Linked DNA regions of Mytilus edulis. The protein of the gene in region 1 purifies or fractionates together with the protein of each later gene. This does not show direct contact. Links are inferred from orthologs where the notes say so. Each region holds a gene or a part of one and is shown on either strand. Other genes may lie near its edges.

The links.
Region 2: the proteins of constitutive coactivator of PPAR-gamma-like protein 1 (region 1) and RNA-binding protein 45-like purify together in Homo sapiens (co-immunoprecipitation; 3 studies listed by BioGRID and IntAct, with this or other methods). This does not show direct contact. The link is inferred for Mytilus edulis from reciprocal best matches to the Homo sapiens genes FAM120A and RBM45.

The regions. Positions count from the first base shown.
Region 1 is NC_092344.1:39,867,769-39,877,258, forward strand, and holds the start of constitutive coactivator of PPAR-gamma-like protein 1, read left to right. Parts: upstream 1-4,716; 5' UTR 4,717-4,919; coding exon 4,920-5,637; intron 5,638-6,322; coding exon 6,323-6,411; intron 6,412-8,398; coding exon 8,399-8,493; intron 8,494-9,490. Other genes in the region: copine-8-like, read right to left, coding at 1,759-1,799, 4,546-4,619. UniProt on the Homo sapiens protein: Component of the oxidative stress-induced survival signaling. May regulate the activation of SRC family protein kinases. May act as a scaffolding protein enabling SRC family protein kinases to phosphorylate and activate PI3-kinase.
Region 2 is NC_092345.1:93,886,432-93,896,050, reverse strand, and holds the start of RNA-binding protein 45-like, read right to left. Parts: upstream 4,309-9,619; 5' UTR 4,265-4,308; coding exon 4,075-4,264; intron 1-4,074. Other genes in the region: translation initiation factor eIF2 assembly protein-like, read left to right, coding at 8,742-8,989. UniProt on the Homo sapiens protein: RNA-binding protein with binding specificity for poly(C). May play an important role in neural development.

The DNA.
Region 1 (9,490 bases):
AACAAAGGAACAGTTTTTGACAATTTTATTATCCACAGCGGCGATCATAATCTTCCTATTGTTGCCGACGCGCCGGGAAGTAGTAACCTCCAACTATGGCCAGGTTGGAAGAGAAGCCTTGCGAAGTGGTAGGAACCATGGGAAGTTCGTCCTATTAGATGCCAAGCCTTTAGAACAATTTTATGTATCATATAATAGTAAAACGAACTCAAGTTACATTGTATACAAACTTTAATTTTCTATATTTATCTTATCTATTTATAACTCTGTATTGCTACTTTCACTTTTCATTGTTTCTCTCACCATGACGACGTCAAATTTAATGCACCACTTTGAGTACTTCAGGGGCTCAATTTCTGTATAAAAATTGTCCTGATGAAGCCTGCCTTGCAGGCGAAACATGTAGACATAGATAATAAAATTGCAGATCTTTTGAAGTGTTGTTGTCAATTTTAATTATTATAATTGAAATACTTATATACAACTTATTGTCCTGACACTAGATAAATGCGTTTTGGGCCCCTTTGGGCCCCTAACTTCTAAACCTTAAGGACCATAACCCCTAAAAACAATCCCAAACTTCCATTTGTGGTTATAAACATTGTGTTAAAATTTTATTGATTTCTATTTACTTATACTTATATCCGTCTTTGAATAATGCTGATGACGTGATTTATAGAATAGCTAATCCAAGAATTCAAATATCGAAAAATATTCAACGAGTGACCGAACATCACATTAATTCATGAATGCGTGTAGCGCATGAGTTAATTATCAGTGTTGTTCGGTCACAAGTTGAATATTTTTCGATATTTGAATTCTTCAATTACTTATTCTTTTTATTACATTGGCAAAGGTTTTTTTTAAAGGAATTAATGTAAAACATGTAAGGAACTATATCTTTTTTCTACGCATTCACAATTTGTTTTGATCCGCCGCTATCGACATCTTGACAACGCCTATTGTTGTATGACGTCAGAGAGTGAAATAACCACGTTAATTTCACATGTGAAATTATCGGTTTTTATTTAAATGGGAAATCAAGGTAATTTATTGCAACCAATGCAATCGCAAACATTGTTGTGGTCGTATCAAAAAATAGTTTTAATAATTATAAGATTGATATTTTTTTAATAGATATTAGATTCCTTTTTTTCCATTTGTAAAGGATCATAACTCTAGAACGTTTGAATTGACACCACTAAAATTCAAACTTAATTTGTATTTTGAGGAAATAAGCAAATGTGTATAAGCTTAATAACATTTGGTTGAGGCAAACTTAAGTTATAGAACCGAAACTAAAATAATTGTAATTTTTCCATTTATAAAGGGGCATACCTCAACAACGGTTCTAGTAATTTTACAAAATTTCAAACTTGATCTGTATATAATTAGTGATACTTAGCATTGTGTATAAATTTCATAACATTTGGTTGATGCACACCAAAGTTAGAGAACGGAAACTAAAAATTTCGCAATTTTCCATTTATAAAGCAGCATAACTCTAGAACTGTTAAAGTGGCACCACCAAATTTCAAACTTGATAAGTGTTTTATGGTAATAAGCATTGTGTATAAGTTTCATAACATTTGGTTGATGCAAACTCAAGTAAGAGAACAGAAACCAATTTCAGGATGTACGGACGAACGTATGTACATACAGACCGACAAGGGTAAAACTTAATGCATGGGGTTGATCTCCAGTGCTACAATACATATCTCAATACAATGCTGCTTCTTCTGGAACATTTATACTTACTTGGATCTGATTTTGAAAATACATCTGAATCTATGAGGTGTCTGAAATGATACAAATGTTAAAAATCAAATCTATAAGAAATTGTAACATGTAATCTTTCAGATCCTAGTTAGAAAAATAAATAAAAATAGTCTTCTCTCTTTTAGTAAGGTTTCAACTTTTAAGATTTGTTTCTGTGTACAGTTGACTCTATAATTTGTCTGATCTGACTGACTTTGAGATAACGAGAGTAGACTGTATTTACAATTTTTTTCTGAAACATTTTAAAATTTATTTTTAACTTTTGGTCTTAAATTGCCTTATAAAATGAAAGTTATTTCAGAAACACGACAAACACTTGTAAAATAAAGGATTGGGAAAGACCGAGTTGACAGTGCTAAAAAACATTTGGTAAAAATTTAAAAGTTATTTTCTCCCCAGATTCAATGTCCAAAAATATTCAAGGAAAACTTTTATAAGAATTGATGGCAGAATAACTGGTACTCTATTAGTAATAAAACAAGAAGGCTTCAAAAGTTCACCTGCTTAAGAATTTTCAAACTTCATACCGTACACCTAATAATTATACAGTGACTCTATTGCTTATAGTATCTGATGAACATACCTTATTGTGGAAATTAAACTTAACATTCCCCAAGGCCAATGAACCATAAAAATAAGGTCACAGTCAAGGTCAGATGGACTCACCAATACATTGTAAATTCATTTTCAGCAGAAAACAATAAGGGAGCAACCATTTAGTTTAAAGGGCATGAAGGGGGAGGTATTGTTTTGTGTTTGAGTCAGTATTTCTCACCTGCAAAGCGCTTCAACGCTATAAGTCAAAATTATTTAGTAAAAATAAAACACTGAAAGGTATGGGGAAAACCTGGATTCAGAATTTATTTTTTTTGTCCTCTGGAATAGAATTTTCTTTTCCTTCAATTTGGAAATAAGACTATTTAAGAAAAATACTAGTCAAACTAATAATGACATCTAGGAAGGCTTTTTTAATTTTTTGCTTTGATGCCTTCCTTAGCAAGTCAAAGAAATATATAATAGCCTAACAAGACGTCATAATTATTTTTACTAGAAAAATACCAGTATGACAACAATCAGTGGCAGATCATCAAGAACTTTTTGGAAGGGGTGTCGGCTGACTGACCTTAAAAAAGGGGGGGGGGGGGGGGGGGGGGGGGGGGGGGGGGCTACTCCGATCACTCTTCAGTGATTCCCAATATTAGCAACCAAATTTTTCCAACGAAAAAGGTGGGGGCAGCCCCCTGGATCCGCCTATGATAATCAATTAATAAAGTTTGAATTGTTTTACATTGTCAATTCCGGGGCTTTTATAGCTGACTATGAGGGCAGAGGTATGGGCTTTGCTCATGGTTGAAGGCCGTACAGTGACCTGTAGTTGTTACAACAGAAAAAACACTGAATCCATCAAAATTTTCTCAGACAGCCAATCAGCAATTGGAATTTTAACTTTAAATTGGAAATCAGATAATTATGGCAAAACTATTCATGATATTAAAATCGGTATATTGGCACTAAAATCTGAAGGAATCATTGTTTCCATTGAATGGACCCCTGGACACGCTGACATACAAGGTAATGAACTAGCAGACCAACTAGCTAAAAAAGCAGCACTGGAAGCAGAAAAAATACAAAGCATTCCAATATTTACAAAACAAGATATACAAAAAGGAGCAAAAGACAGTGTTATGTTAAAATGGCAAAACCGATGGGAGACCAGTGATAAAGGAAGAAGATATTATGCCTTGCAACAAAATGTGAAAAATACACTTCCAAAAGACAAACCGTCAACTGAAATATATTGAATAACTACTAGTTTAAGAACAGGATATTGCAATTTAAACTCATACAAATCAATGATATGCCCAGCACTCATCGACAAATGCAGCTGTGGACAAGTAGAAACAGTTGACCATTATCTACTGGATTGTGAAAATTATGAGGAGGCTATAGAGAAAAACTTCGCTCTGCACTCTACTTCATAACATCAAAACTAACACTTAAATCAGAAGTATTATTAGCAACAACAGAAAATGATAATTACAAACATCACATAGAAGATATTCAACATTTGTTAGGGGTCTTTATTAAAGATACTCGAAGGTTCACAAAATAGATAGTTCAGGTTTTATAAGGGTTAACTATTTATTCATTTTTTTGTTAATTATTTATTTATTTATTTATTTATTTTTCTCTGCATCGCCACATAATAGATACACATGTGCTAATGAGTTTTATACAATAGCGACATAAAATTACCAAGGTAATCGAAATTACAGTCTACAGAGAGATTATAGTGTCAAGTTGACACTTCTAAAGACTAAAGATTTCTGCATCATTTTGGTCTCTTGTGGAGAGTTTATCACACCACATTTTCTTATTTTTTTTTGGTATAAAGCTGGCATTTAAGGTATCGCCTTCCTCATATTAGAAAAAAAAGAATGTTGATCAGTGACCCATGAAAATGAGGTCAAGGTCAGTTGAAACCTGCCAATCGGACATGTAAACCTTGTATAAATCATATTTTTGTAATTATTGTCATTGCACCATGTAAATTTCATTGGTCGCCTTTAAAAAATAGAATTTTACTTTCACTTAAACTTTTTACGCATTTTTAATCAATTTGTTTATGTCAAATCAGAGATGTTGATTTCGAAATGTTTACTTTGACATGTTGATGCACAAATTAATAGTAAATAAAAAGATGCATCTTCTGTGCCTTGAAACAGATTTTTAACATTTGAGTGTATTGATGCTGTTAATCCTTACCGACAAGAAATCGACAACTCGACTAAGGTAGCAGGAGCTACACCTGTTCCTGGTTGAAACGTATTCTCTGCCATATTATTTTTGTTTACAAAATTTCTCTTTTAAAATTCTCTAGACTTTACTGCAAGAGGATAGGACAAGTCAACTTATACCGAACGATTTCGAAATGCAACATGGGAAATCCATCCGGGCCTTGCGTCATCAACACGCATGTCAAAGGGTGTCAGAGCCGCTAGGAAGAAGCACATGGCCGCTGAATGAGGTCAAATTCCTTTCATTTTCTTCAATTTTAGTGCTCTGTTTACGGAATTTTATCTTTTGGCATATAAAAACTAATGAAGTAATCATTTAACTTTGGAAATAAGGTAGCAACTATGGGAATTAAATCTCTGCAAGATTATATTGAGACGCACTGCTCTAGTGCCTGTGTGTCAGTTGATTTGCTGAAAATATCTAGGGGTTTTGTACCAAAAAGGCGTGGCAGGTATCCAGGTTCATCCAGATTCTGCCTTGTTGTAGATGCAGAGAGCTGTCTAGATCGACTCTATGGCGGCTACTTTTCAGACTGGGTATGTGGGGGTCAATGGAATAGGATGACATCTTATTTAAACAGCCTAATCCAGGCTTGTCAAGCAGCTAACATGGAACTGGTTGTATTCTTCAATGGGTCTTTGGAGAGTCAAAAAATGAATGATTGGTTTGCAAGTCAGAGTATGGAGAAGAAGAAGGTACAGTCCATCTTGCGACATGTCAACAACAAAGGAACACCACCTCCCAAAATTTGGTGGATCCCACCAGTGTTCCTCCATGGTGCACTTAGAATGGCATTGCGACAGCTAGGTGTTACTGTTGCATGCTCTATGGATGACCATGAGCAAGAGGTTATTGGTTATTGCAGGGAACATGGGCTTCAAGGAATTCTTGCACAAGATGCAGTATACACAATATTTGATCCACCACGTTATTTTTCATCCCACAACCTGAAACTGACCTATAAAGGTTCTTTAGAAACCAAAGAATACATCATGGATGAGATTGCAAAAAATCTTAACCTGAACCCAAACAGATTCTGCATTTTTGCAGCACTATTGGGTAAGTTCAGCAGTATGAACAGTAACATAATGTTATTTAGAAACGCAAGAAATCTATTTATAAATGAACAGAAGTAACCGATTGAAATAGAATTGACTAATCAAACGCACCTTTCTCCTGACATGCCTGAAATCATGTTTTTTATGTAACTTTAAAACTTGTTTCACAATATTTTGATTGGTTCCATACTCTTACTATTGACAGTTGAAAATAAGGGTGTATGTACCCTAGCTACATGTACTAGAATTTCAGGGTTCAACTACTAGCGAACTAGCTAGCCAAATATATTACCTTTACTGCGAATAGTACATACATGTAGTATATATACATGTTACATCTAACCATTAAAAAAGAATGATTGGCATGCTAGTGTTTTGAATCTTTAAACAAAAGATGATCCACTCTGCACTGTGCAGTTGAAGGAGGATTAGTTGCCATGCCGTTTATTCTGGTTTAATTAGAAATTCATGCATGTATATAGTGATGGTCATAATAGAACTGCTTTGGTTGATATGAAATTAAAATTCCTGAACACCTGAAGCATGAACTACTGCAGATTATTAAGGGCGAATTTACATTTATGAATGTATAGAAAAAATCTGGTTGATGTTTAATCAATTAAATTCATTTATTCTGTAAAAATTGTTTCACATCATTTTTTAACCTCGTGTTCCATTTTTTCCAGGAAATCACATCCTACCAGATGCAGACTTGTATGACTTCTACAGAAATTTACTGAACACCACACAGCCAGATGGTGGACAACCTATTAAGGTGAATTCATACTATAAATTAGTCCAAAACACCGTTTGGTGTCCACCTATTACATGTATTGCATTTATTTAGAGGATGGTATGAGGGTCACAAGGCTGTCTTTTCTAGTTGCCGCTTACACATAAAAAACACCTGAATCTGCATTCTTTTTCACCTACTGATAACTGAGGGGTCTAATAATGTGCAGGTGATAATAAAGAACAATAACCAAAAGAATCAAATTTATGGACATTTATCATTTGACCGGTGTACACTAAATTAAAGAAACGACAATGCAACCTTGTGTCGATCAAACTGGCGTCTCGGTTGAAATTCTGGTTGGTTGTTTTGAATAATGTTGTCTTTTGCCTGAAATATTGTTATTATGCATATTTACACATTGTCAACAAAAAATAAGGTTGTCGGTTCAATTTAAAATTTTACCAAATTTATTATTCACTCAGCAATGAGTGCACATAACTGTATTCATTAAAAATTATTATTGGAAAAGATTAAAGGCATCTGACAATTAAAATCACTGTGTAATTCACATACAAAGAGTTAAATTTTATGGACATTTTAGTTGGTAAAAACCTTAGTTTAGTGGTGTCATCAGGGTTTTACTTGTTTTGACTATTGCACTAGTGCATTTAGTGATGACCACAGGCTATTACTCTTGATAGAAAATATATTTTAATCATTTTATTAACCGGATTTTTGTGACAAAAATGTTGGTTATTGATTTGGGGATGTACGGCGAGCGGCAATCAAATGTTGTCCGTGCATTAACTCATGAACCGTTCAACCAAAGCTTTTCAAATTTTAATGTGTTGTTACTGACAACTAAATGAAGGTCAAGTTCAATACTGGTGATTTTTACTCTTACCGTTCAGGAGTTATGGTTCTTGAAAGATTGAAAAATGGAGTTTCCAGTCGTGTCCGTGCATAAACGCATGAACTGTTCTACCAAAGCTTCCCAAATTTTGATCTGTTGTTACTTATGACAAAATAGAGGTCAAGTTCAATAATGACGATTTTGACTTTTACGGTTCAGGAGTTATGGTTCTTGAAAGATTGCAAAATGGCGTTTCCATTCACGTTGTTGCATTTTCTCATGAACCATTCAATATAAGCTTTTCAAATTTTAATATGTTGATACTGATGACAAAATGGAGGTCAAATTTGATATTGACGATTTTCACTTTCAATATTCATCAGTAATGGTTCTTGTGATATTGCCAGGACACAAATAAATATTAATAAATCTGGTTTGCTGTCGTTGTGACAGCCTCTTGTTTTTTATTGAATTTGTATCCAGATTTTAATTGGGACATCAGTTTGTGTCTGTGCAATAACTTGTGAACTGTTAAACAAATCTGTTTCAAGTTGAAATTTATTATTACTGATGACAGAATGAGGTCAAGGTAGATATTGAAGATTTTCAGTTTTGCTGTACAGGAGTTCTGTTTATTTATTGATTAGAAAATTGGAATTTTATATTGTTTCTGTGGCATAAGTTAACAGCTGGTTTACAAATGCTTTTCAAATGAACTGAAATATATTGTCAATTTAATATGGGAATATTGGGGTCACATTTGATTGATGATTATAACTATTGCTCTTTAGAAGTCGCAACTCAAGATTGCTGTTAAAATTACTCACAAATTGAAATGAAATGAAAATTGTTTGTCATTGTGACAGCCTTTTTTGTTTAAAAAAATCAAGTGAAAGTTTTAGTTCTTGCCTTTACATTGTAAAAAGTGTAATACATGCTCTAGTGAGCTTTTAAAATCGACATTGATTTTTGTCATAGAATTAAGATAACACATATATTATATTCTAGAACTGTATTGCAAAAGGTTTAAAATTTATTAATATTTTTCGGAAGTTTTAATATTATTTTATAACTCCCACCCTCAAAATTTAATCTGTGGTGACCCCTGAGCCATCATATTTATTAACTCTGTGAGTTTTAGGAAGATACATTATTCAAACTTTTGTCTTGCAGTTTACTCCAGAGAATTGTATTGAAGCAGCTGTAAAATTTGTTCGTAACTTAGCCTCAGTAGATAATCTGGATACTGTTGGAGAACAGATTTTCAGGTAATTAATTGACTTATCTGTTATAATGATTTCTACTTATTTTTATACGACCGCAAAATTTGAAAAATTTTTCGTCGTATATTGCTATCACGTTGGCGTCGGCGACGTCGTCGTCGTCGTCGTCGTCGTCGTCCGAATACTTTTAGTTTTCGCACTCTAACTTTAGTAAAAGTGAATGGAAATCTATGAAATTTTAACACAAGGTTTATGACCACAAAAGGAAGGTTGGTATTGATTTTGGGAGTTTTGGTCCCAACATTTTAGGAATTAGGGGCCAAAAAGGGCCCAAATAAGCATTTTCTTGGTTTTCGCACTATAACTTTAGTTTAAGTGAATAGAAATCTATGAAATTTTGACACAAGGTTTATGACCACAAAAGGAAGGTTGGGATTGATTTTGGGGGTTTTGGTTCCAACAGTTTAGGAATTAAGGGCCAAAAAAGGGCCCAAATAAGCATTATTCTTGGTTTTCGCACAATAACTTTAGTATAAGTAAATAGAAATCAATGAAATTTTAGCACAAGGTTTATGACCACAAAAGGAAGGTTGGGATTGATTTTTGGAGTTGAGGTCACAACAGTTTATGAATTAAGGGCCAAAAAGGGGCCCTATTAAGCATTATTTTTGGTTTTTACACCATAACTTTAGTATAAGTAAATAGAAATCTATGAAATTTAAACACAAGGTTTATGACCATAAAAGGAAGGTTGGGTTTGATTTTGGGAGTTTTGGTCCTAACAGTTTAGGAATAAGGGGCCCAAAGGGTCCAAAATTGAACTTTGTGTGATTTCATCAAAAATTGAATAATTGGGGTTCTTTGATATGCCGAATCTAACTATGTATGTAGATTCTTAATTTTTGGTCCCGTTTTCAAATTGGTCTACATTAAGGTCCAAAGGGTCCAAAATTAAACTTAGTTTGATTTTAACAAAAATTGAATCCTTGGGGTTCTTTGATATGCTGAATTTAAAAATGTACTTAGATTTTTAATTATTGGC
Region 2 (9,619 bases), on another chromosome or scaffold:
TTTTAGAAGAATAAAAAAGCAGAATATAGTTGGTCATGATTATCTTTTATAAGTAGATAAACAAAATGGATTAATTATTTATCAGGGTCAACCATTATATATAAATATACAAGTATTTTTGTAGTTGGTCTATTTTTCAAAGGTTTGGTGTTTTTTCAACTTCCTCTATTACCATGATTACAAATATGCAACAGCTTTGTTCTAGATTTTCTGATTATGTAATTTGAAAAACTTTTAATCACTGAGTATATAAAATATATTAAATTACTATTTTAATTATGATAGATACTTTAGTTATCATATATATGCATGTACATTGTAATCATGTGAAGAATAATCACTTACACAATGAATTTCTACTCTCATTACATATGTACACATATCTGTCATATGTTTCATCCTTTCTTGATAATTCAGTGCATTTTCATTTTTCCCATATCAAGTCACAAAACTTTAGATTTTGATAAAAAATTAAGCAATATTTTCCCATTTATATAATCAGTATTACAATTAACTAAGAGAATTTGATAACTAAATTATGAACTTTCAACAATAAAATTTTAACAAACAACAAGAACTAATTAAATACAGCAAACTTGACTTCTCTCTTTATTGTTCCAGTTTGAAGGCATGTGTGTGAACTTATGTCTAGTAATGGCCTTACCCTGCTTACCCCAGCACAAAATATATATTTATCAATCTTTTTTACCAGCAAACAAGAAAACTGAAGAAATTTAAGGTTGGATGAATGGTAAATAATATGTAGGCATTACAAATTTAACTATCCCAAGTAAAATGAAATATACTTTTTTGAGCCATTGCAAGGTTTTTTGATAATATCAATAATACTTAATGTATTGGTCAGCCACCCCTGTTTGAAGGGTAGTCAACAATGGTAAAGGGGTAGTTTAACCTCTTATCTTGCTAACTGGCCAACATTTATTACACATTTAACTTGACCAATATATATATTATATTAACAAGATTGAGACATTTGTTTTGTTCTTCAGAGTTTCAACTAATGAAACAACAGGTTTAATATTACAGAAAGGATCAACATTTTGTTCACGTAATCAAGTTTCATTTACTATGATGGTCAGAGAAATGAAGGTACCATAAAATATGGGTATACCTGTCCCTAATCATTGTACAAGACAATATTGAGGTGACCATTATTGGATCTGTTAACCAATACAACTTAGTAAATGGTATGCAAGACCAAGAAATGCTTTCATTTCTGATTTGTAGCTCCAAGGCATTTTGTTGTCATTTGGCCTTTGCTTTTGTAGTGAATATGAAAATAGGGAGATGAGGTATGATTGACAATAAGACCACTATCCACCAAAGTTCAAATACAGTGGATGTAAGTAATTATAGGCAACCATATGGCCTTCATCAATGAGAAAATCCCATATTGTAAAGTCAGCTATAAAAGGCCCACCAGACATGAGAAATATTAAACAATTCGACTGAGAAAACTAACTGCCTATATATATAGCTACATGTTCTTGATTACAAAACAATTTATTTAAAATGAAAATGACAGACATGAACCAACAACAACCAGTGAACTACATGCTCCTGACTTGGGACAGGCACATAAAGAGTGTGGCAGGGTTAAACGTGTTTGTGAGCACTCAACCTTTCCCCCTTATCTGGGATAGTGACATAACAGCACCTTTAAAAATAAGTGGAAAGCTTAAAGTTATCAGTTTTGTTGATTTAGAATCAGCAACTTTATATGGATAATCCTTTTCATGAATGCATTCAGAATGCATTCATGAAAAGGATTATCCATATAAAGTTGCCCTAAATCTGACACCTCCTTTTCAGTACCCATGACATGACTTAGCCAAATATTCCCACAAGGGGCAAATATATGTGTAGACTTTTTCAACACTACTAATCTCATTGTTTGTGCCACCAATTAATATTAACCTCCTGCTCCCCTTTGGCTTCCTCATTATTTGACTCATTATAGCCCACACTGTCATCTTTCCCCTGCCCACCCTGACCAATTCTTAACCTTTCCTCATTAAGTAATAAGACCTCTTTTCCGGCATTAATAACATCAGTTTCACTGAACCTGCAAATTCTACATCAGTTTCGTCTGACGACATTTTCACACTGAAATACTAGCAGACGAAGTTGCACTTCCTAAACTGCTTTCAATTTCGTGCATTGTTCTCCCGTACATTCACAGCCCTACCCGCTTATTTCACCCGATACTCAATCAAAGTGTATGTGTCACCCGAGTACCAGCTTTTCAAAGCCATATCTCTGTTCCCTCGAAATCGAGAATTGTTTTTGCAGCAAAGCCATGAACGCGAAAAAAACTTACTTGTCTAGTTCCGATTTGTGGGGGGAATAAAAAGATCGCTATCATATTTATTTAAGATATATTGAACCATTTATTTTTATTGTATAGTTAAAACTACCTAAGAATAATAAAGGGCTTCATCAAAACACAGAAAACAGTTGTACTTCCACTCCTCGTTATCGAGAGAAGCCATTTTGAAACCCCACATGACCTCAAAACGTGTTTCCGGTTCTAATTTTATAAAATAAAATTTTCCGATTTGATTTATTTACCTTTCACAATGTTTTTAATGCTGTTGAAGAACTGAAATAATACCCTCAGATATCGTAGATTAAAATTGAAACATTGATTTCAACTGTTAAGAACGGCAAATAGTGTAAAATTGCGGCTTTTATTGGGACAATATTTATGTATCCTGAAGGATACACTCGCCCTGCGCATCGTGTATCCTCAAGGATACATCCGCCCTGCGCATTGTGTATCCTCAAGGATACACTCGCCGCGAAAGGGTTAAAGGAATCAATATGCTACAGCAACAGGGCTAAGCTCATTTGCATATAATTTGCATATTTTTGCAAAGAAACGAAAATTAGACATTTTCTGAAAACAATTCAGCATGGTAAGGGTTAATATAAAGGATTGCCTACTTTAAGTACATTTCAATTGGAATGTCCTTTCCACTTTAAACTTGACATGACTAAAGATGGACTAAACCTTTTTGCGAGGGAAGCAAAATGTTTATTTGATCATCTTCTGTTTTGCATTTCACTAAAAGATTATTTTTTTAAATCTCATATGGGTATTTTTCAAATTCATTAAAATTTAGTTTTTTAAATTTGCATTTACATTTTTTAATAGTATTCATTTTTATCATGTTTTTCTTTTTTTATAGGGACTGTACAGTTTCATTTTCCACCAGTCAGCATTTAATTTGCATAATTTTATTTTTTAAACAATATAAAAAGGGAGGGAGGGTGGGAAATTTTTCGATCTGAAATTGATACACTGAAGAAATCTAATGTAATGACTAGGGAAAGGAATTCCTTTAAAACTAAAAGGTGTATTGAACATAAATCAAAATCAGTTAAGCGTGAATACATATATCAAACGATCGGCCACAGGGAGTAATTAGAACATATTTTGCATCGTAATTACTAGTTTTTTAGAAAAAAGAAATCGAAATCCCCATATTATCAATATTTTCAGTTTGTATTTCATGTTTCATTTCCGATCTGATGGCATTTTTTTTTAAACGGATGTGGGTACGTGTAGCCTACGAATGGCAATTTGAGTATTATCCGCATGTGGGTAAACGCAGACACTGCCTTTAAAGAATGAGTAACACTAGTCACATTTTTGTAACTAAGGTCAATCAGCGTAAACAATGTCATTGAAAATTCAGTTCTGACATGAACATGTCTCAGCATTGTGGCATCAGAAATTTACAGGAATTCAAATTAGTCTATTTGGAAAAAAATGTCATGTACATGTGGATGCAATTTTTGGTATTGACTGAGGTATCTGTATCCAATGAATTTCTGCCAATATAGGCACACCTCCGTATATGGAGTAAAACAATAAAAGTATCAATAATGTTTATAGACAGTATTACCGAATAAGACTGAATATTCAATTTAGAGAAACCTAATCATGACTTTTTGATAATGGTCAGGTGGAACATCATTTAAAGCATTGATCAGTTTACTAAAATGTCAAACTTATCGTCAAAAAGAAATAAATTTTATAAAAATAACCTTTGTTTTCGTTTGAACGTTTATCTTTCACAACCCAGATATCTTCGATTCCTCCATATCGCTCGAATTCCTTCTGGAACATTTCTTCCGTTGCTTGTTTACTGCATAAAATAAAGAGTCTACTATTGGCAGGGCGAACATCTTCTTGGAGATCTCTATGTCTTTTATCGTAGGGCTGGTAATTCGCCATTTCCACGCTGTTGACCGTTGGAATAGAGTTACTTCCCCTGTAAAAACAAAACTAATAAACTCGCCCTGTACAGATCGACCCAAAAGACATCCACAATAAAAAAAAATATCTCCCAGTCGGGTAGTTGTTTATAAATGAAACTAAATTTATACTTTTGTCCTTATTAGATACAAAAAAAAAAAGCTGAGATAATCCAACAAGGATACCACAAGGATCAATATTGGGTTTGCTGACTGTTATTTGAACTGTACATAAACAATCTTCCAGACGGCTGATATATGATATATAATATAGCTAATGGATTTTGATGCTTATGTATTTTCCGATGACACCAATATCTGTAGGGTAATGAAGAATCAGAATGCCAGAGACATTCTACCGTCGAAGAAGACCTTTACAAGATGGAAACATGGAGCGACAAATAGCTACACCATGAAAAATGTAAATACATAAAAATATGTAAGAAATCAACTTGAATAGCACTGACAACTCAAATAATTACAGTCTACTTAATCATACAATAGAAAAGTTTTACAGAGGAAAAAAATCATATAGGAGTCCTTATTGACTCAGAACTCACCAGTGAAAATCACATCATGAAGGACATGAAGCGAAAAATAAAATAAAGCCAACTGATTAGTTTAAACATATTTTATTTGTTAAAGTACAAATTGGATAAGACACAAGTCAAACAGACTTATGAAGTTTTCTCCATTTAACATTTATAGCAATATAATACAAAAATATATGTCATGATAGAATGGTATATCTATTTAGTAAATATATATATAAATATGGATCAAAAGACGGAAAATTGAAGAAAAAGAAAACAATAATAATACAGAAAAAAAAATCAAAAATAAAAATATATAAATAAATAAATCATTATTTAGAAAACAGAAACACAAAAAAAAAAAAAAAAATATAACAACAAAAAAACAAATAGTAATAAAAAAAAAAAACAAAAAAAAAAAAAACGAAAAAATAAAAAGGACAAAAAAGGGGAGAAGAAATTGATATACGCAGTTTTCAAAAGAACTTAAATTATTGGGTACTGAGACATTCGTGCTTTTGTATAAAAAATATCAGAACCCATTTGTACTATGCTAGTCCAGTCTGGTCTTCATACAAGAAAAAAGGTTTTAACAAAATAGAAGGAGTCCAAAGAAGGGTAACAAAACAACTACCAGGACTCAAAGATATGAGCTATCACAGAGACTTTTAAAAAGGCTTACCTACACTATCATATAGAAAAATACGAGGGGATATGTTTGAAACCTTCAAAACCTATCAATGGGTACTATGATAAGGAAGTAAGCTCATTTTAAACATGGAAGCTGATTCACAACGTTAACATAGACTGACGGCAGTAGAAGGACAATTAGCAACAAAGTCATCCATTAAAGATTTCAATCTAAAATCCACAAACACTCCTTATCTGTTAGAATTGCTAACCTGGAACAAACAATCAAATAAATAAAATCACTAAAGCCCCATCCATAAATGCCTTTAACTATTATTATATAATGACTATAGATCAGAAATACCAGGGAGTCACGGAAAAAAACCCAGTATACTATAAACAATTTAAATTATGAGTCTGATGAAGAGTGTAGTAATAGACCATCTACATACATTTTCAAAATAATGAATATATATTCCCTCTATATAGATCCTAATCAGGTATATGGGTTTCTATTACTATTACGGAGGAATCAACTGCATTTAAACAATCTAAACGGAGAAGATGATAAGGAAATCACACACAGGCACTTGTCTCAGAAAAAAAATTTCCTATGTGTTATATTAAGGTATATAGGAAATTTTTTTTCTGAGACAAGTGCCTGTGAAATCACATCCCAAAGAAGAACTGATAACTAATACCATGGCAAAAATGAAACTACAAAAAGTTTACAAACATAGCATCCAAACAAACTTAGCAACACGAACCACACCATAAAACGGAGATTTACAAATGAAAACGGTGTTATTAGGGACTTTGTTTGCGGGGTCATCAACTTACTTGTCTTGGAGGTATAGGATTAAAGCTAGGTGTTTGGGTACATTTGGATTTTTAATACTAGATAGATCTAGCATGAAAGACTCGTTAAGACTTTTGATGTGTATCACAGTACTTAATTAACCTATTCGGACAGATTATATTAATATAAGGATAATTTGTTTTGACTTAATTACTCAGCAGTGGGACCACTGAGGACCAATAGCAGTGGACCGCTGAATGTTGACCCTTCTGCACGAGACAGCACGGACGGCGTTAAGGTTCATGTGGACCCTATGGCTAAAATGGCCGTATTTTCACCTCAAAATTTTCTCTGAGTACAGGCAAACCTGTGCATCTGGAAAAGTTTTAAGGCATGGCATGCCCTAGATAAATAGAATTCAAATGCATTGTATGATTTAGAAAATTCATAACTTAACTGGATTTTGCCGTACACTTTTTTTCATCTCTGCAGAAGATGATAAAATTAACAAACAGTTGAGTTTACCTTGATATGGTCCACTCAGGTACACAGTTTAAATAACCAATTATTGTCAGGTATCTATTGTCCATCTAATGTCCATGTCAACTAAAAATGCTCACTTTAAGTTTTACCTGTGGGGAAGTTCTCAAACCTGTTTCCCAACTTAGTTTATTTTGGCACCTTCTGGAGGAATGAAAAAAAGTGCACCGCAAAATCCTGGTAAGTTTTTATTTTTTTAAAACATAAAACATATTTAAAATTCATTTATTTAGGGCATGTCATGCCTTAAAACTTTTCCAGATGCACAGGTTTGCCTGTACTCAGAGAAAATTTTGAGGTGAAAATACGGCCATTTTAGCCATAGGGTCCACATGAACCTTAACTATGTTATTTCCTTTGTGTCTGATAACAAAATTTTGAAGGGTCGATCGAAACTATATCGCTTTCCATTTTTAGTTTATGACTTTGTATCCCGTTTCCTACAACCTCTTTTAATTTAACTCCATGTGTTGCTTATATATATTATATTTGGAATAAGTTCGCTTTTTGATAGACCTATATCTTAATTTTTCCTGCGAATATAATACTAAATCTAATAGTCCCAGTTTTTTCTCATCTTTATTTTGCCGTTCGGTCCAGTGAAAACTTTAACCTCATGTCCTCATTTAAACCTTCATTGACAAAACGACTAACGAATGTCCAGAGATATTGACCTTCCAATGGTAAATCTAAACGAGTTGTATATATTAGATAACGGAAGATATATATCGAAATGACATGAAAACGAAGGAAAACATTCACTATTGATTAGAATTTTATTACCGATCTGGAATTATTTAAAGTATCACTATTGTTTTGACAACTACGCGCGATCGGCCATGACTGTTGTAGCTCGGAACTAAAATTTTCGCTTGTCGTATGACATTTGTGATTTCTATTGAAGGCTCCAGCACAGCAGATACATTTTTTAAGACTACTTATAGTATTAAAATACGATCTTAATTTAACATTGTTTCAACGATTTAAATCCCAGAGAGGAATACGTACCAAAAGAAAAAGAAAATACAGGTATGCATAAATATATTTGTTACTAAAAATATCGTTCACGTTATCCGGTTTATATTTAAAGTATACTGACGGACTCTAAAAAAGCAATACTTATAGATTCTTTATAAACATGAGTTTCAGTTTCGATGTCTAAATAAAGTTTGTGTTGTAAAGTTGCATTGATTTCCTCACGACCAGGACGATCCTTGATTGTAAGAACCGAAACAGCCGATTTTCTCCTTATTATTGGATTTGTCAATGGCTGTTTGTAATCGGGGCAACGTCTTCACGATTGATTGCCATAGAAAAGTCAGCCAGTTCTTCTGGGCATGTTTTGAGTTCAGTTTTTCTGCATCTGTGCTTCCGTTCCTCCGTTCACTAGTCAGACCGTCCGTTTGTCCAGCTTCAGTTTAAAGGTTTTGGTCAATGTAGTTTTTAATGAAGTTGAAGTTCAATCAACTCGAAATGTAGTACACATGTTCCTAATGGTATGATATTTCTAGTTTCAATGCCAAATTAGAGTATAAACCCCCAATTTCACGGTCCACTGAACATATAAATGCATCTGTCCCACTTCAGGTTAAAGTTTTTTGGTTGAGGTATTTTTTGATGAAGTTGAAGCCCAATCAACTTGAAACTTAGTATATATGTTCTCTACATGATATGTTTTTATTGCAAATCAGAGTTTGACCAAACTTCAATCAAGTAATTCTGAAAGGATTTCAATTTAACAATTTTGTAAAATCATTGAATATATCTATATATGCAAAGAAGGCCAAAAAGGGGTGGGATGAATAAAATAATGATATCTCCAAAAATATTCTAAGAACCTCGTCATCCCTGAATTTCAAATGTTCGTCCACGTATTTGTTATGTACAATAAGTTCATGAAGCAACACTGACTGGATGTGATCGGTATGATTTAATTTGTAGATTAGCATTGGAATATGGCAGCAAACTTGGCAGATCAACTGAAGCATGTTAAACTGAAGAAAACAAGAGAACCAATCCGTGATTATTCAGGTTTGAAAACTGGCGGATATTTAACGGAGGACGAGATAAAAGACTATGACGACAATGTACTGGCTGCAAATACAGAACACTGGGTAGATATTCTACGAGACGTCACATTTCCAACAGTTACTACTCCCTTTCATTTAGAAGATGCCAAGCTGTTTATAGATGTATACACAAGGTATCAAAATTATGATAACTAGACATGGAGTAGCCATCCAGATTGTCATACATTGTTTTTAATTTCCAAAAAAATCGTAGAATTTTTTGGATGAGCGTTCCAATTTGATTAAAATCAAGATCTTCGTAATTCGCCTACTCATCGAAAAACTAAACATAGCGACCTGAGTTATACCGAAGATCTGTATTTTAATAAGATCAAGAAATGTGCGAGATCAGTAACTGGCGGTCCTACCTACTTTGATAAATGTTATTGAATGGATTTTTCTACTTTTATTTAAATTTATGCCAAAGATAGGCGAAAGATAACAAAGGGACATCCAAACTCTAAAGTCGAAAACAAACTGACAAATTCTTGGCAAACAAAAACGAAAAACGGCCAAAAAAAACAAAACTAAAGACTGAGCAACACTAACTCCCCCCTAAAACCGGGGATCATCTCATGTGCCCTCGGTAGCGCTCTTACCTCACCATCATACACAGAAAACAATCTTGCCGCTGTGTTTAAATGTATTTTAGTGATTTTTTTTTTTACAAAACTATGAACAAACAATACCATGAAAAAAACCCAGGTTTTTACCTGATTTCCCCGTCCTGTTGTATTGTGATCCTTTCTTAAAATTTAGCCTGC